2 linked regions of the Arabidopsis thaliana genome follow. Changing the gene in region 1 together with any one later gene gives a genetic interaction. Each region holds a gene or a part of one and is shown on either strand. Other genes may lie near its edges.

The links.
Region 2: of ICU2 (region 1) and CLF, changing one enhances a phenotype caused by changing the other (phenotypic enhancement), as found in Arabidopsis thaliana (one study listed by BioGRID).

The regions. Positions count from the first base shown.
Region 1 is NC_003076.8:26,773,327-26,780,947, forward strand, and holds the start of ICU2 (DNA-directed DNA polymerase), read left to right. Parts: upstream 1-3,626; 5' UTR 3,627-3,667; coding exon 3,668-4,774; intron 4,775-4,866; coding exon 4,867-5,037; intron 5,038-5,122; coding exon 5,123-5,206; intron 5,207-5,294; coding exon 5,295-5,369; intron 5,370-5,455; coding exon 5,456-5,520; intron 5,521-5,692; coding exon 5,693-5,783; intron 5,784-5,875; coding exon 5,876-6,061; intron 6,062-6,293; coding exon 6,294-6,457; intron 6,458-6,565; coding exon 6,566-6,680; intron 6,681-6,957; coding exon 6,958-7,134; intron 7,135-7,210; coding exon 7,211-7,324; intron 7,325-7,568; coding exon 7,569-7,621. Other genes in the region: MAPKKK19 (mitogen-activated protein kinase kinase kinase 19), read left to right, coding at 1-434; AT5G67090 (Subtilisin-like serine endopeptidase family protein), read right to left, coding at 785-2,995. UniProt on the Arabidopsis thaliana protein: Polymerase alpha in a complex with DNA primase is a replicative polymerase.
Region 2 is NC_003071.7:9,952,134-9,962,447, reverse strand, and holds CLF (SET domain-containing protein), read right to left. Parts: upstream 7,357-10,314; 5' UTR 6,879-7,356; coding exon 6,816-6,878; intron 6,539-6,815; coding exon 6,446-6,538; intron 6,362-6,445; coding exon 6,060-6,361; intron 5,956-6,059; coding exon 5,794-5,955; intron 5,657-5,793; coding exon 5,572-5,656; intron 5,435-5,571; exon of another isoform or gene 5,401-5,434; coding exon of another isoform or gene 5,377-5,400; coding exon 5,242-5,376; intron 5,142-5,241; coding exon 5,094-5,141; intron 5,022-5,093; coding exon 4,950-5,021; intron 4,869-4,949; coding exon 4,168-4,868; intron 4,067-4,167; coding exon 3,916-4,066; intron 3,817-3,915; coding exon 3,593-3,816; intron 3,514-3,592; coding exon 3,382-3,513; intron 3,257-3,381; coding exon 3,166-3,256; intron 3,067-3,165; coding exon 3,019-3,066; intron 2,916-3,018; coding exon 2,787-2,915; intron 2,693-2,786; coding exon 2,615-2,692; intron 2,526-2,614; coding exon 2,331-2,525; 3' UTR 2,062-2,330; downstream 1-2,061. Other genes in the region: AT2G23390 (acyl-CoA), read left to right, coding at 1-26, 275-396, 501-567, 777-827, 1,044-1,096, 1,263-1,473, 1,558-1,728, 1,821-1,880; AT2G23370 (cyclin delta-3), read left to right, coding at 7,430-7,532, 7,669-7,752, 7,854-7,928, 8,011-8,053, 8,131-8,188, 8,285-8,452, 8,533-8,595, 8,675-8,769 and 3 more; AT2G23360 (filament-like protein (DUF869)), read right to left, coding at 9,721-10,230. UniProt on the Arabidopsis thaliana protein: Polycomb group (PcG) protein. Catalytic subunit of some PcG multiprotein complex, which methylates 'Lys-27' of histone H3, leading to transcriptional repression of the affected target genes, mainly abscisic acid (ABA) responsive elements.

The DNA.
Region 1 (7,621 bases):
TTGAGATGTTTAGTGGTAAAACGGCATGGAGTTTAAAAGAAGGGTCGAACTTCATGTCGTTGTTGTTACGCATCGGTGTTGGTGACGAGGTTCCGATGATTCCCGAGGAGTTGTCGGAACAAGGAAGAGATTTTTTGTCAAAGTGTTTCGTTAAAGATCCCAAAAAGAGATGGACGGCTGAGATGCTTCTAAACCATCCATTTGTAACCGTCGATGTTGATCACGACGTTTTAGTCAAAGAAGAAGATTTCGTTGTTAATATGAAAACAGAGGACGTCTCGACATCGCCGAGATGCCCATTCGAATTTCCCGATTGGGTTTCGGTTTCTTCCGGTTCACAAACGATCGATTCGCCGGATGAGAGAGTTGCTAGTTTGGTGACTGATATGATCCCTGATTGGTCTGTTACCAATAGCTGGGTCACCGTACGGTGACGATAGTGATTAAAAAACAGGGGACAAAAACAGAGTTGCAGAGAAAGACTAGAGCTTTTTTTTAATTCCTAGTCAGATCCAACAATTCTAATTTAATTCGTTGTATAAATATTTCTTATTAGAAATTGACTATTTATTTATATGTAAATACCAGTTTTGTATTCATGATCTCAAATCTTGATTCTCTTTAGTACTATATGGAAATTGTATTCATGACTCATGAGCCCATTATCTCGATTATCTTTCTCCATGAATGTGAATAAAGATCGTATATTCAGACATAATCACACGGAATAAGAGAATAAGTTTAACCAAAGAAGAAAAAAAACAAATCTTTTGCAAAGTAAAGATCAAGACTCTTGGACAAGGCTCGTGGCCACCACAGAACAGCTCACTTCAAACTCAGCTTCATCTTCATCAACCCAACTCACCAATCCATAAACCACGTTCTCTTGTAACCCTCTTGGACTCTCCAATCTCACAGTGTAGCTTAGCTTCTCGTTTTTCTCGCTGAACATTAGTTTCTTTGGCTCTACGACGACGTTTAGACCCTTCAAGCCTCTCACTCTCACGATGTAGCTTCTCTTTGCTTCTCCCACGTTTGTCAATGTCCTCTTAAAGATCTTGGGACTGCTTTGATCAGACGTGAAGTAGGCAATGATTGAAGGGTAATTGAGATATGGAGATGGCTTTTTACAAGCGTCGGAGATATTCGATCTCGTGATGATATTGATCAATTTTCTTGATTGTTTTGCCTCGTGACAAAGGAAGTTTATGAAATCTTGTGGAGTTGTATCATAGATTAGGCCAGGGTTTAAGACTTTGTTCGTACTCACATGCCCTGCTCCAACGGCTAATGGGTTGTCTAAAGTCAAAGCCGTTGTCATAATTGCAGATTTTATAGCCGATGGACTCCAATTTGGATGGACTTGCTTTATAAGCGCAGCGACTCCAGCTACATGAGGTGCAGCCATTGATGTCCCGGTTAAGAGATTGAATCCGCTGAATAACGGTAGTGCTCGAGTTCCGGTGATTTGCTCAACCGACGGCCAAGCAGAGAGTATAAGTGTCCCAGGAGCTAGAATGTCTGGTTTCAGGATTTGAGGGAAGCTTGTGAATGGACCCCTTGAGCTGTATGTGCCAACTTCTGGCGCTGGTTTTGTCCCGATTACCGTTTTACGAAACTCCAGCTTTGCGGTCGCGTTGTTTTTGTTGCTTGATGCGTAGCTTTCAATAGTTTCTCGGTGTTTTGAGCCGATGAATGCTACTGGAAACTGGAATTTTATTGTGTCTTGCTCCTCAAGTAACTTATCTGTTATTAAAACTACTGCTGCAGCTCCGGTGGATCTGATTTGATGAAGTTTGCTACCGATGTTTATGTTTTCGTTACAGACAACAATTCTGTTTGCGAGAGTCTTGTTTTCAACGCTGCCAGATTCGATGTAAGTTACTGGAAACTGAACCGAAGGGAACTCTCCAGGAAACAGAGATGGAAAACTGAAACTAACTCTGTTTCCAAACGTTAGGGTTCCTTGAAATTGCCTACCAATTGTTCCCGCTCCAACCGTCATAATCCACGGCGCTCCGTTAATCAAACTCCAGTAATATGGCCCGTCGTTACCGCCGGAAGTAACCACGAAAACGCCTTTTTGAATCGCTGCAAAAGATGCGACTGCGATTGGATCATTTTCTAGACCGAAACCATCATTGTCGTCATCATCCTCAAAACTCAATCCTAGCGACAGAGATATCACATGGACTCCATCTCGAATCGCTTGATCAATCGCTGCGATTACATCTGATGAGTAAATCCCTTCTTCCCACGCGGCTTTGTAGATTGCTAGATGCGCGTGTGGTGCGATTCCTGAGGCGGTTCCTTGGGCGTAAGAGAAGTAAGACGCGTTCTTAACATGATTCCCAGCTGCAATGGCTGCAACATGAGTGCCGTGTCCGATTGTATCGTACGGTGAAGAGTATTGGCCAATCTTGGTTTCTCTCAAATCAGGGTTGTTGGCGAACAAACCCTTGTTGAATACCTTAGCACCGATTAGTTTCTTGTTGCACAAGGAAGAAGAATTGAATTCACATGCTCCTTTCCATTTAGACGGAACCGAACCAACCCCATCGTCGTGAAAGCTGGGACTATCGGGCCAAATTCCGGTATCTATAATACCGATTACTATACCAGCTCCATAATTCGAGACCGGCCATGTACCGGATGTCGAATTTAAACCGATAAACTTTGGAGAGAAAGTGGTATGAAGCTTAACCGGTAAATCTTTGGTGAACGAGACATACCCGGGTTTGTGTTTAAGACGTTGGAGCTCAGAGTTGGTGAGAACCGCGCTAAACCCGTGAACCGAATCGGTATAAGCGTAGATAATCTTTGGTTTTCTATTGGTTATAACTGAAGTAAGAGTTGTGGAAAACCAGCTCCGATGATCGGAAAATGGCAACGGTTTAGCGGATAAGTCCATGTGGATGATGTAAGGAGAGGTCTCCGCCGTTACAATCGCTACGAAAAATGAGAACACCAGAATAATTACGACGGTCATCCCCATGTCTGAGCAAGTTTTTTTCTCTGGTCTCTTCAAAGTGAAATGAATTTTGGTGTTAGTAAGAAACAATTATAGTGTTGTTGTTAATAGATGTTTAGTTTTTATTATGACAAAAAAGTTGCAGAGAATGTAACCTTTACTTGGCTTTTGCTTTTGTTAAAGTGGTTTTAGGTGGTCGGCAACACATCATCTCTCATCATTGTTTTTTTTTCTTTTCTCTTTCAATTGGGCTTTATCATAGAGAACAATGATTTTGGATATGAACTTATTAGTAGTTTCAGCAATAGTTTAGACTTTCGAATCGGTAAATATCAGTAACTTAGAACTCAGGCTGAAACTTTGATTCTTTTACTGTATTTAGCTAGATTCTACACTTGGTGGACTCCATCAGCAATTACTTCACAGACCGAGGTAGCTCCTACAACTCTCTGATGCTTGATCTCGTTCAAATAGATGTCTCATAATTGCTTCTTTTTTGTTTTTGTTTTTGGGCTTTATTAAAGAGGAGTAAGGCCCATTAAGAGAACCCGTTTGTTTGTTGGATTCGGATTTGGCAAATGGATAGCGCCAAAATCGTGTCGATTTTCCCGCCATCTCCATTTCTTAATCTGGGTTCTTAAACCTAAATCAGTTACTCAGCTTCACCAAACCACCAAATTGACCGGATTTGTAAAAATGTCCGGCGATAATTCAACGGAAACTGGACGAAGACGTAGCCGAGGCGCGGAGGCGTCGAGTAGGAAAGACACACTCGAGCGTCTGAAGGCGATTCGACAAGGAGGAATCCGTTCTGCGTCAGGTGGTGGGTACGATATTAGGCTGCAGAAGCCAATCTTCGATACCGTTGATGACGAAGAGTACGACGCACTTGTTTCCCGGCGGCGCGAGGAGGCTCGCGGGTTTGTAGTTGAAGATGGGGAAGGTGGCGATTTGGGATATCTCGACGAAGGTGAGGAGGAGGATTGGTCGAAGCCAAGTGGACCAGAATCGACTGATGAATCAGACGACGGTGGTAGGTTTAGTGGGAGACTTAAGAAGAAGAAGAAAGGGAAAGAGCAAACGCAGCAACCTCAGGTTAAGAAGGTGAATCCGGCGTTAAAAGCTGCGGCTACTATCACTGGTGAAGGTAGACTTTCGTCTATGTTCACATCTTCGAGTTTCAAGAAAGTTAAGGAGACTGATAAGGCACAGTATGAGGGTATTCTTGACGAGATAATAGCTCAGGTTACTCCAGATGAGTCGGATAGAAAAAAGCATACGAGGAGAAAACTACCAGGTACTGTTCCAGTTACCATCTTCAAGAATAAAAAACTGTTTTCTGTTGCCTCGAGTATGGGAATGAAAGAGTCTGAACCAACACCTTCAACTTATGAGGGTGATTCTGTTTCCATGGATAATGAATTGATGAAAGAGGAAGATATGAAAGAATCTGAAGTCATTCCTTCTGAGACTATGGAATTACTTGGAAGTGATATTGTCAAAGAGGATGGATCAAACAAGATAAGGAAAACTGAAGTGAAGAGTGAGTTAGGTGTCAAGGAGGTATTTACATTGAATGCAACGATTGATATGAAAGAGAAGGATTCGGCTTTAAGTGCCACTGCTGGTTGGAAGGAAGCGATGGGAAAAGTTGGAACTGAGAATGGGGCTTTGCTTGGTTCTAGTTCTGAAGGGAAAACGGAATTTGATTTGGATGCTGACGGATCACTTCGTTTCTTCATTCTTGACGCTTATGAGGAGGCTTTTGGTGCGAGCATGGGCACAATATATCTGTTTGGGAAGGTGAATCTCTAGATTTTTCATTCATTTTTAAAGTTGTTCTTTTGGCCTTAATCTAGAGAATGAATTCGGTCTCTCTTTTTTTAACAATTCAGGTTAAAATGGGAGATACTTACAAGAGTTGCTGTGTGGTAGTTAAGAATATCCAGAGGTGTGTTTATGCTATTCCAAATGATTCCATATTTCCTTCCCATGAACTAATCATGCTCGAGCAAGAGGTGAAAGACTCTCGACTTTCTCCTGAATCCTTCCGTGGGAAATTGCATGTGAGTTTGACTACCTTTGTTACATGCTAAGAGGAAGCAATCTATTTTCCTCTGTTGTTCATTGTTTTTGGCTGTGTCTTCTCAGGAAATGGCATCAAAACTGAAAAACGAAATTGCTCAGGAATTGTTACAGCTCAATGTTTCAAATTTTAGCATGGCGCCTGTCAAGGTTTGGATATTTGACTTCTTTTTCATGTATTCTAGCAGCAATACTTTTCTTTTGACTCTCTATTCTGCTCTTTATGTACGAATATCAGAGAAACTATGCTTTTGAGAGGCCTGATGTGCCTGCTGGCGAACAATATGTTTTGAAGATAAATTATTCATTTAAGGTACATTTCAGCTGTTCAAAATAAAACTAAAAATCGTCTGTTTTCTTACATCTCAACAATATGACAAGTTTCCTCTTTTATAACAGGATCGTCCACTTCCAGAAGATCTTAAAGGCGAGTCTTTCTCCGCTTTGCTCGGGTCTCATACCAGGTTCTAGCTTCTTACTGCTGAGTTTCATTACCTTTCCATGTGTTTGGTAGTTGGTTTGTTAAGTTTGTATTTTCTGGTCTTCTGTAAGCTTCTTAGTTAACTATGTATGCTGGCTATGTCAATTTAGCACGGTGCAATTTTTTCATCCTTATCAAAGTTAATTCATATGCAGTGCTTTGGAGCATTTTATCCTTAAGAGGAAGATCATGGGACCTTGTTGGCTCAAAATTTCAAGCTTCTCTACTTGCTCTCCTTCGGAAGGAGTAAGACCTTAAATCTGTGCCATAATCATATAATCAGTGATTTTTCTAGTTCTGTTTATCTCCGCTAATGAGAGGACTTGCCACTTGTGCAGGTGAGTTGGTGCAAGTTTGAGGTTACTGTTCAATCTCCCAAGGATATCACTATTTTAGTTTCAGAGGAAAAGGTGGTTCACCCTCCTGCTGTTGTTACAGCCATAAATTTAAAGACTATAGTCAATGAAAAGCAGAACATAAGCGAAATTGTTTCTGCATCTGTTCTCTGCTTTCACAACGCCAAGGTTTGTTCTACAACATTTAACCAATGCTTCTTAGCCTTTTTTGTTGTTGTTGTTGTTGTCTTTGTGAAGAATACGGATGTATGATCATGGCATTACCAATCACCAGTAGGTTTTCGTACCATGTGGTTTTATATTAACGCTCATTTTGGACGATTGTTTCTTGCTCAAAAGACACTCTTTCTGTCTACATTAGTAGCTTGACATATGATGTGCGTGCTCCTTGATCTTTCAGATTGATGTTCCAATGCCAGCTCCAGAAAGAAAGAGATCTGGTATTCTGAGTCATTTCACTGTTGTTAGGAATCCTGAAGGAACCGGTTACCCAATTGGTTGGAAAAAAGAAGTGTCTGACAGAAATTCAAAGAACGGCTGCAATGTATTAAGTATTGAAAACAGGTGTGTTGCAGCTCTGTTACTGAATAGGCTGTGTTTGTGATCCTTCACATATATCTTTGGCAATTCATGTTGGCTTCGTCCAATATTTTGTTCCTTTTCTTACTGCAGTGAAAGAGCATTGCTGAACCGATTGTTTTTGGAGTTAAACAAATTGGACAGTGATATTCTTGTGGGACATAATATTTCAGGTTTTGATCTGGATGTTCTTCTTCAAAGGGCCCAGGTAAAGCAAAATCTCTTTTTACCATTAAGAAAAATGGTTGTGTCTTTCATTTTATTTTATTTTCTTATCTTTCTATGATATGCTTCATATTAGTTTTGTAAGATCTTGTCTTTCCAGGCCTATTAGATGATATTTAACGTAATAAGCCAGCAAGTTTTTATTTCATGCATTGTACATCATTAGTCCCTTTTCCAGTCTCTCCTGTTGTGATGATCATGTAATAGAGATATATACATGTCTGTCTTGTTCTTTAAACTGAATGATTACTATTGTGCAGGCTTGCAAAGTTCAGAGTAGCATGTGGTCCAAAATTGGCCGACTCAAACGCTCTTTTATGCCTAAGCTTAAAGGAAACAGTAATTATGGGTCAGGAGCTACACCAGGGCTCATGTCTTGTATTGCTGGAAGGCTCTTGTGTGATACAGATCTGTGTTCTCGTGACTTGTTGAAGGAGGTATGATACCCTTGCAGGTCTTGTAAGCAGTAAGTTGAAGCTCAGTCCCTCATGTATAAGCATCTGTTTCTTGCAGGTCAGTTATTCTTTAACGGACCTCTCAAAGACACAGCTGAACCGGGACAGGAAAGAGATAGCGCCTAATGATATTCCCAAAATGTTTCAGTCATCCAAAACACTTGTGGAACTTGTAAGTTCTTCGATGAGCCCGGTCATGTCTGTTTTATGTATGAGTTGGTACTACCACATTAGGGACGATAGGTTATGAATCCTTGCATGCGAAACAATTTAGTGCAAACTATTGAAGAATAAATAATCCAGTCATACATAGAAGTAAAGGGATTGCAGATAACAGCAGTCACTTAAGGTTGATGAGTGATGACTGCATCTTAATTGCTCGCTTGTTATAACCCTTTGATTTTCTTTTCTTTCAGATTGAATGTGGTGAGACGGATGCATGGTTATCCATGGAGCTCATGTTTCATCT
Region 2 (10,314 bases), on another chromosome or scaffold:
CTGCCATGACGGAATTGGCATCAAAGGTATGATCTCTATATGAAATCTATCTGTGTTATAGATAAAAACAAGACTTGGAACAGGATTAAACTTGTGATCTCATGGTATACAGAACTAAGGTTCTACTATTTATTAGCTATCCTTATTACTATAGGAACAATCTCACATTTTACTTTCTTGAAGCTGTAATGGTTCTCTTGTGTTGAGTTCTGCTTTCAACATATGCTATCTGCTGACTGCTGACAGACTAGTTGTATTCTGTGGGCTTTGGCAGTTACAAGTTTCATCTTTGCACATTACATTTCCGTCTGGAGCTGAGTGGGACAAATTGAAAGAGAAAGGCTTCTCACAAAGGATTGGAATGCAGTACCACTGGAAAAATCGTGATTATAAAAAGTAATTGAAGTTAGTTGCCAGTATATTAGTTCTTAACAATGACTGGATTGGAAGTAGTTGCTATTATATTTTGTTCATTTTTTTTTTTATCTCTAATACTTCAGTTTTGACGAGTTCTTGATGGACATGAAGCAAAGCAAAAGGAAAAATATCCGACAGGAACGCAAAAAGGTTTGTTTAGTTTCCTCTTTTCATATCATCCTCATTGTGCAATTTATTCTTGTCTCTTAAGTTTCTTTGCTCATGTGAATAGTAAAATGGAATGGTTACTCTTTTTTTCTTCCCATACAACTTTTGAATTGTGGCCTTATTTCGTTATCCGTTCCTTGTGGCGTTTTTCAAGCACGCTGCTGACTTCTAATGCTCCTTTTCTCTAGTAGATTGGTACCCAGAATTTGAAAATGAGACGGCTACAAGGAGATGATATAAAGGTATGTAACTGAACTGCCACGAGACGAATTTGTTGTAATTGATTATGCCTGGCGGTATCTTTTCATTTTAATGGCTATAAATAATCAACCATGGGATATCAATCTGCTACCAGAGGTTAGAACTGATGGCACATGCTATAAAGGACATTATGGGGCTTTTATATTAATATGTGTCTTAAAAATTTGATTCATCGTTTGTGCCTAATGTTTTTGCAGGCTAGGCACTGGGATTCCTTCTATGATTTCTACAGGAACACAACTGATAACAAGTTTAGTCTTTATCTTTGAGACATTTTTGTTTTTCTTATCATTAGTACACATTATGTGTCTTTGTGCATAATAAACATACTTACATTCAATTACCTGTCATCGTCAAGTGTATGCATTACCTGTGTTTGTCCTTTCACATGCTTAACGATTTCCGGCTAATTTTAGATGGGGCACACCTTATCTCACAAGGGATTTCTTTCACGACATGGCATCGAAGTTGGGAGACAAGGTATTGCTTGTTTTAGCTGAAGAAAACGAGGAACCTGTTGCAGGAGCATTGAATCTCATTGGAGGAGATACTCTATTTGGGAGACTATGGGGATGTCGTCCCGACTCCTATTATCCTAGTCTCCATTTTGAAGCATGCTATTACCAGGTTGGTCTTGTTGTTTCAAAGTCTCAAGAGTTTTCGCCGAGACATACTTGATTAAAACTCACAAACTGATAATGGGATTCATAGGCAATTGAAGCAGCGATAGAGCTTAATCTGAAAACGGTAGAAGCTGGAGCGCAGGGTGAGCATAAGATTCAGCGAGGCTACCTTCCCGTTAAAACATATAGTTGCCATTACATATTCGATGAAGGTTTCAGGCAAGCCATAGACGAGTTTTTAGTGCGCGAATCAAATCAGGTATGTTTTGAAGTTATGGTGTTAAAAGAGTATATAAACATAGCTATGTAATTGGATCATCGACTTAAACAATGTAACTTTGTGCATCGCAGATGGATTATGTCATCAGACTGATGCATGAAGATGGACCCTTCAAAGAGAAAATAGAATAGATGCATTTATATCTTGGTTATCGCAAACATTCTTGTATATCTTAATTCTTAGGTTTATGCGTCAATGTACATTTTAATTTGGCTGCTCATGTTCGTTTTCTGATTTGGTTTTGTTACTTTCTGATCACCAAATGTACACTGACGCCTAATTTAATTTATATAGATTGTGATGTGTGAGGAATACCACATTGATGTCAGCTCCAAAGCTCACCAAGTTTCTCATCTGTAATTTAAAAACTTTAACCCGAGTCTCAGTACAATAAAATGATAATCCAGAAATGTAAAACGAAAAAAGGAAATTTTAATCCAACGAATACAATTTTTCTTTAGACTCAGCAAAATGTATGAATTTGTTTCAATGTGTTCTTCCGTGTGGAGAGTAATGAGGATTAAAGCGTTCTTCCACCTGTAACCAAAGAATTGACAAAAAAATGGTTGTTTCTTTTGTTGCTAAGCAAGCTTCTTGGGTCTACCAACAGAAGGTGTAACATTTTCGTCTTTCTTAGAACCAGGAGCTTCAGGTTTTTTGGCCCAAGCTGGAGCTCGATCTGGCTCATACCGGTAATCGTAAAATAGTTCTTCTCCAGCCAGTATCCTCTCTTTTGCGAAGATCCCCACCCTGTGATCTCCAGCAACCATGATGACCTTGAACAGATACAAAGATTTTGAGGAAAAACAGAACATACCCATCATGCGAAAACCGTATCTTTAACTTGCACTTTTCACATTTTTACCTTTGCGTAACAGTTAGGTTCAGGAGAATGGTTGGCGAATTTCAGTTTATCTCCTTTCCTGTAAGCATCTAGCACAAACTGCAGCACAATCCAAAAACATTTTAAAATTTGAAGACAACCTAGAGACTAGAGAGAAAGAGAGTTGGGACATTTCAAAGCTGCTGAGACGTGCCTGATCGTTTAGATTGAAGAGAAAAGAGCAGTTCTCGCGATCGTATATCTTCCCGCGTTTATCTGCCTCTTTATGTGAGATCAGCTCTCCTGTGTATTCCCCAAGGTATTCATGCTTACTTACACTGTTCTGTAAGAAGGAAAAATAATTGTTCTTAAGGCAAGTTCATACTCTAAACATAGATTAATCTTTGAAGGACTTATCAGTTTAACAAATTTTGAACCTAATATACCTTTAAGAAAGCTCCCCAACCAGAAACATCAGATATTCCAAGTAAAACCTGAAATTAACATAAAAAAGAGGAGGAAATTTAGCCATTTCATGTTTAATCATTTGATTGCAGATCATAGATATTTAGTTAACAAGGCTAAGTATTTACCCTTTGTTGTTGTTTCAGGAGCAATTTCATATTCCTGCACTCATAATTATCGCCTCTTTGGCTTGGGACCCCAAGCGAACCATCCCCACCACTACACATTCAAATTCATTCAGACACAGTATAAGTGCATCTGGAACTACTAAAAAAAAAGTTGCATTTCTTGAGCATTTTCTAAGAAACCAATTAGGATGGATTTGCATCCCCAATAAGACTTACATGACCCAGCAGTTTCTACAAACATCTGGGTCACATTCCCGATCTGCAGCAAAGCATGGACACTGGCGGCTTCGACACTGACTTTTGGCACAATGACAACCTCTAAACCTATTCTTGCAGCTCTTTGGGCAACTACACAGAAAATATAGTTTGTTGGTAATGAGATTCAAAGCTAAGAAATACAGATGTGGATAATCATAGATTACATTACCCGCAGTACTTCTCGCAGCAAGTCCCGTTTAGCAAACAAGGACATTCCTTCCCACAAGCAATTTTGCAGTTACATGGATTAAACTGACGGCAGGGCTGGTCTTTCTTCTCAGTAATTCTTTTCCTAATTGAATGATATGCAGCAGACTTCCAGGTATACTTCAAGCGCCGCACTTTGCCTCTCCTACGTAGAAATCTTGACCTTCTCCTCACTTGGTTATTAACCTGGTTAGTCCAGAAACTAAAGCATTAAATCCGAAGAGAAATAAATCGATTTTATCAGGAATTTGTAAACAAAGTCAAAAAGGTTTAGTGTTAATATACCATATTTCCATTGATATCGAACTTGGAAGAGCCATCAGGATTCAATCCATCACCTCCAAAGAAGGAAGCTTTATTTTCCGAGCACGTCATGTATTGGAAGACCTCCCAACATGATTTGAAACCACTCAAAAGATTTCTAGCAATCAAGCAGCTGCAAAGAAACAAAGAATCCATATGACTATATTCCACAAATTGAAAAACCTGAAGCAGAATGATAATTTAGCAGTAGCTAAATACATCAAAATTACCCACCTATTCATTCCAAAAATCTCAACACCTTTATCAAAAAGGCTTTTCTCAAGTGGTCTCCACAACTTATTTGTAGCCAATCTTCCTCGAGATACAGTTTCACCCATAAACTCTTCTTTCCTTAGACTTTCATCACTACCCGGCGCATCAAGCTCTGACGCAACCTCATTTGACTGGCAAACAGGAACGTCATCCTTCACAGAATTATTGGAGACTTCGGCAGGAGTGCCATTCTTCCTTGACTTCCCGGAGTTCCCAGATTTTACATGCTTCTGAGAAGAGGAAGTAGCATCTTCATTATCTTTATGTTTTGCATCGCTGGGTGAACAACTTCCACTGGCGATGGAATCACTATCCGAGGCTTCTGTCTTCTTCTGCCTCTTCTGAGTCTTACGAGGAACTCGCTCAGCAACTCGGTTTTTGTTCCTCTTACGACCTACTCGTCTCCCACTACCTTTCACCTTTGGCGATGATGAAACTTTATCGGAATTGGTATCCTGCTGTAGTCCATTCTCTGAGTCACTTGTTTCTAGTGCGCACTTTTCATTAGACGATGCACTTTCACTTGGGAAGGTCTTTGGTTTTCTCCCATTAAGTTTGCTGGAGAACTTCGTGGGTGTGGTTTTAGTACCTGCACCATCTGATGAAGTGCCAGTTTTACCTTCAATGGTGCCATATCCCGGAAATCTTCCAGACTTGAGAAGCTGATAAATTGAAAACAACGCTTTTTGTTAAACCAGTCTTTCTAGGAGATGAGCTTAGCAACGAGAAAATAACAAATTTACCGTTTTATAGCAGTTTGCACCACAGGTTAAATTTTCATCTACAGGAGGACACCATGGAGCTGGTTTCTCAGCCTAAAAATCCATAAAATTAGATAAGTAACACTAAAGTTATAGTAAGATTTTTTCGGTTGGCACTAAACTCACCGGAAAAATGAGATCCTGTGAACACCCATGAAGCCGGCAATCAAATACCTGCATAGATGCATACAAAAGTTAAAAAGAGACCAATGTTTGCTCGATCATTAAGCAATAACCCATGAAACATTAGCCTGAGAAAATCAAATGGACTAACAAGGCATCTACGGCAGAACAGGTTATCGAAAGAATCTAATGCTCCTTCCATATCTTTGTTGAGAAGGGAGCTCTCTGCTTGATTATCGCCACTCTCGGATACTTCTTTTTCCTTCATAAGCACTCCATGTCTTGCCTGTATAAGATGGTCGGTGTTCATATCTCTGCAAAAAGCCAATTGGGAAAGGGCTGGAACAATACTAATTGGATTTCCTTAAACAATGCATCCCTCACTCTGTTTTGAAATCCTACAACTGAAGTGCTTGATTCTAAAGAAAATAGCACATGATAGTTCACACAAGCAATAGGCAGAGAAAAAAGTTGTTGATACCTTGATTTCACTAGTACTTCTAGACAAGAAACTTGCTAGTTCCGCCAGGACTGAGTCTGAAAGACCTAGTTGCTCAAGGGTCATGCTGAAGAAACGAAGGGAAATTTAATCCAACAATATAAGTGAGAACAAACCAGCATAACAGTTGACATAGCAGACAAGAGATTCACACTAAGAGACCAAAATGCAAGAATGATTAAACTCCTGCCATTTAATACTAACCGAATAATATAATCTTCAGGCTCCAAAAAATCTCTTTTTTCTTCTTCGTCGTCAATGGCCTCCTCTTCACTATCACTGCAGATAAGCGCTTCCCCGCCAGTTTGATCATAATAAATTCTCCTTCGACCCACTACAGACTGGTCTTCAGTCATTCTTTGATTTCTGCATCATTTCAAGAGTGATTATAACGTTAAGATACTATGCGAGGGGCTTACATTTCAACTTGAATATTTTCAAGTACTCTTGCGACATTAATGTCAACATACCTGTCCAGAAAAACCCATGTGGTATAAGGTGACAAACGTTTGATATCAGGCATTTTGATAGGACGTAAGGAAATTTTGACAGGGACACTAGATCCTTGAACCATTCCTGAACTGGCAGGTCCATCTTCTACATATCTGTTGTTATTACTTTCATCGATTCCGCTTTTCATACCTGGCGAATCTCTTTGCCTCTTAACTAAAAGATCACTGCCATCTTTACAGCTACCTCCTCGTTCCATAGAAGACCTCATAAAACTTTGAGTAATAGCAAACAAATTCTTCTTGTTTTCATCAATCCTTTTCTGGTTACAAACACATCAATTTCTAACAATCAGATTCAGAAACACATAAAACATACAAAAAAAAAACTAAACAAAAATAGCAACCTTTATTGATATACACCTATCAGCTGCAAGCTTCTTCTTTAGCGATTCTATTACTTCTGATACTTCCTTAGAAGCTGGACCTCTCTCCTCCGCCTGAAACATCAAAATGAGGTTCCTTTACACAGTGTTCAATGAGAGAAACTATCAATTGCAGCAAAAATGGTTCCTAAACGAACCCAAAAACAACTTCATATCTCACAATCCAGCAATCTCTAGATCTAAAAACGAGCATATAGAGAAGCTCAAACAAGCCATCGAGTTTCGTTCTCTTCACTCAAACTAAAGCAAATCAAAGTCAATGCCTCAATAGCACAAAGAAAAAAGTTCCATTTTTAGAAAGTAAGAAAAAAAAAAAAAACGATTGACGCACCGGAGAGTCTTTGGGTGGCTCCGATCTGGTGGCCGAAGAAGAAGGCGAAGCTTCTGACGCCATTGTCAAGAAACCAGATCGGAACCGAAACAAATGCGGGTCCGGGTTAAGATCCGGGTCGCGAAATCTGAAATGTTGGAGGAGAGAAGGAATTTGGCGGGTCGTTATAAACCCTAAAAATTTATCTTCAATTTTGTTTTTATTTTGGATCTTTTATCTTCAAATCCAAAAAAAATTTCGTTTTACTTTTAAAGAACATTGTTTACGAATTGGGAAGCGTGTAAATTAGAAACTTTTTCCAATTATTTAAAAAAAAAAAAGTTGGTGGGAAAATAGCGACGTGGCAGCTCGATTTGAATTATCTACTGTACATCTCCGGCGACGGTTTACCGGAATATCACGTAGCTCGAGACAACGAATCTACTAGAGTTCGAGACTGGTTCTATATCAACTGAACAAAACAAACACGAACGTTGCTGGGCTCTGATTTAATGGGCTCTTAAACCCTATTTGTTTGGGCTTTATTTTTTGTTTTTTTTTTCAGCAACAGCTTTTCGAAGTCTCTCTGTAATCTCATCGGACGAGAAACAGTACGGCGATCGGAAAACTCTGAGATGCATCGCGGCGCGGCGGTTTTCGGACGGAAACGTAGACTGATACTTCTCCATGGCAGCAGAAACTTCGCCAGATCCTTTTGCTCTTCTTCTTCACTATCTGGTGAGAGGGATTCACATCTTCGCTATTTCATTTGCAACTTCTGGAAGCTGTGCGATGGCTTGAGATTGGTTTATGATTCTTACGGTGCCGAATTTGAACAATCAGTGAATCGAAGTTAACGATTGATTATGTGCAGAACATGAATGTTTCATTAAGGATATAGCAAAAGCTCAGCCTCCTAAGCATCTGATGCAGCTGCTGAATATATTCACAGCTAGAGGTAAATCAATCTTACACTGACTTGCTGATCGTATTTTCGAAGTTTTTGTTTGTTAACTTGCGGAATGGTGACTTTTGCTTGTGGTAATGACATTGGATCAGGTAAATCCATAGTTTCTCCTGGTGCCAAGCAAGGCTTGTTACCTCTTACTATTCCGTTGGTGAAAATGAGCCCGGGTATGATTCTGGACTTGTACATAAGTTCTTATCTGAGGTTGTAACACTTTCATATTAAGTTTGTATGACTTTCCTTTTTCAGGTTCTTCAATTGCTCTATTACGGTGGCCAACAGCTCCTTCTAGGTTAGATCCTCCTTGCTTTTTTAATATCGTCATGTTTCTCTTCTTTTGTAGCTTATCATTGTTTGTGGTGTTTGCAGTATGGAGATGCCTGTGGTGGAAGTTCAGAAACATGGGGTTTGGTTTCTAGCTAATAATGTAATGAGTCTTTTTATAGCATTACTGATGCGTTAATTTAGGGTTATTTTTGTTGAGTGTTCATTCTCATATCTGACTTCATTGGCCAACATTCAGGTTGATCAGTTCATTCACAGAATATTGGTGGAAGAAGATGTTTCCAAACCCGAAGAATGCAGCCAAGAAATCTTCAATGCTGCTGGTGAAGCTGGGAAGAAACTTTACAGTAAGGGTGACTTTGCCAGTTCAAGACTGATGGATTTAGATGCCTATCTTTTAAGAAAGGTACATATATTGAGCCTGTTAATATCAGAATCTTTTCTGCACATGGATACTGGGATATGATTATTAGCTTTGTAATTCAGGTTGGATTGTTTCCAGATTCTCTTGAACGAAAAGTTATTCGGCATATCGAGAATGGAGACCATGTAAGGCTAGTAATTATATCTATCCTGTTGTAGTTGACGTGTTTTCTCTTTTTAAACTATCTTCACGTGCTAATACAAGGTTTCAGCTTTGGTGGCTACCGAGTTTTATACAAAGAGAGGGAACTTTCCCGGATTTGCCCGGCCATTCGCTTTCAACGCAAAAGTTTTACTGAAGTTCGTATGATCCTTTCTCATCATCCCTCTTTCTCCCTTGTGAACGACCCCCAGGTAAATGCTTACGTCCTTTCTAGAAAACTCTAAGACCTCTATATATTTTGTAGACTTGGGCGTAACTTAGAAGCGAAAGACGCAGCTAGGGGTGCTTTGAAATCTTCGTGGTGGACCTTAGGATGCAGATATGAGGTACAATTCCTTGACTATCGACAAGCAATTTTGGTAATCGAAAAGAGAAGGGAAAAAAGTGTTGAACATATGAAACGGGTTCCCAGGAAATTGCTCAAATAGCAGAGTGGGGAGAAGAGCAAATTGCGCAGTATAAGGAGAGAGTTACAGGAGAAGGAAAACAACGGGATATAGACAGGGGAAAGCCAATGGCTCAGGTTTGTTCTTTGCCTGTATTCATTATCAGATACTCATATCATGCTTATGGATACAAAGGCTTGAAACAAAACTTGTAATTCTCAGGCATCTTTGGACGAGGCTGCGTTCTTACTGAATCTAGCGTCACTTGAAGGGACATGGGACGAATCACTGGAACGGGTTGCTCAGTGCTACAAGGAAGCTGGACTTAACGACATCGCCAAGTTTGTTCTGTACAGAGATTGAGAAGTCTCTTTTAAAGGCCACAATTTGTTCTTTTGAGACCTGAGATGACATTATATCAAATGATCTTATGCATTTAGTGTCTACGTTGAAGATTTACATTAACCCTGCTAAAGATTCATTGGGTCAAGATTACTGATTGTATCCTTTCTGAGACTAAAAGTGGAATAAAGCAGAATGATCATCTTATAGAGTAATACTCTACGTGGAGATTATATATATACTGCCAAAAAAATCTAGAAAATGACAGTTTAGTTTGCATAGTTTGGGTCTTTGGGACCATATAAAGAAACAGGATTAAGGTATTAGATTATAGTCTAGATGACAGATGCCACCATCTTCTTAGTTGGCAAATGGATTAGGGACCTTCTTGCTCTTACCTTTCTTATTTCTCCCCAACAGCTTTCTCCAGAGGCTCTTAACTCCGCCGGTCTTTTTCTGAGGAACAATGGCAAAGCAGTTTGAGTCGGAGCCTTTGCTTTTGTCTGAGAGAAGAATCTGTTCTAGTGCCTCAATGGTTTCATTGTAAACAGAGCTGTTTCCTCCCTTTCCGTTTTTATCTGCTGCTTGCGGTTTCTGATCCTTGGATTCCCCGGTGTTGTGATCTTCTGCCTTCATCTGATCCAAAAGAGATGATCTCTGGCTGGTCAATCTCTTCTCTGGTTTAGTAGTCTCATGTGAAGGTTGTGCATCAGGTAGGTTGTTCGATTTGTCTGTAACGTCGTACATGAGTGTTTCTGAAAGTAAAGCTGTTTCCTTTGAGTTAGTCAATGCCTTGAGCTGCTTTCCCAGGTTTAGAATCGTCTCTTGACACTCGGCCAACTTTTCTGAAGCAGCAGCGATTTCCAATTCCTGAATCATCAAACACATAAAACAGATTGGTCTTGGACAAAAACAACTCTCAATGTAATGGTATCGATTTTCTTCTGCTTGTAA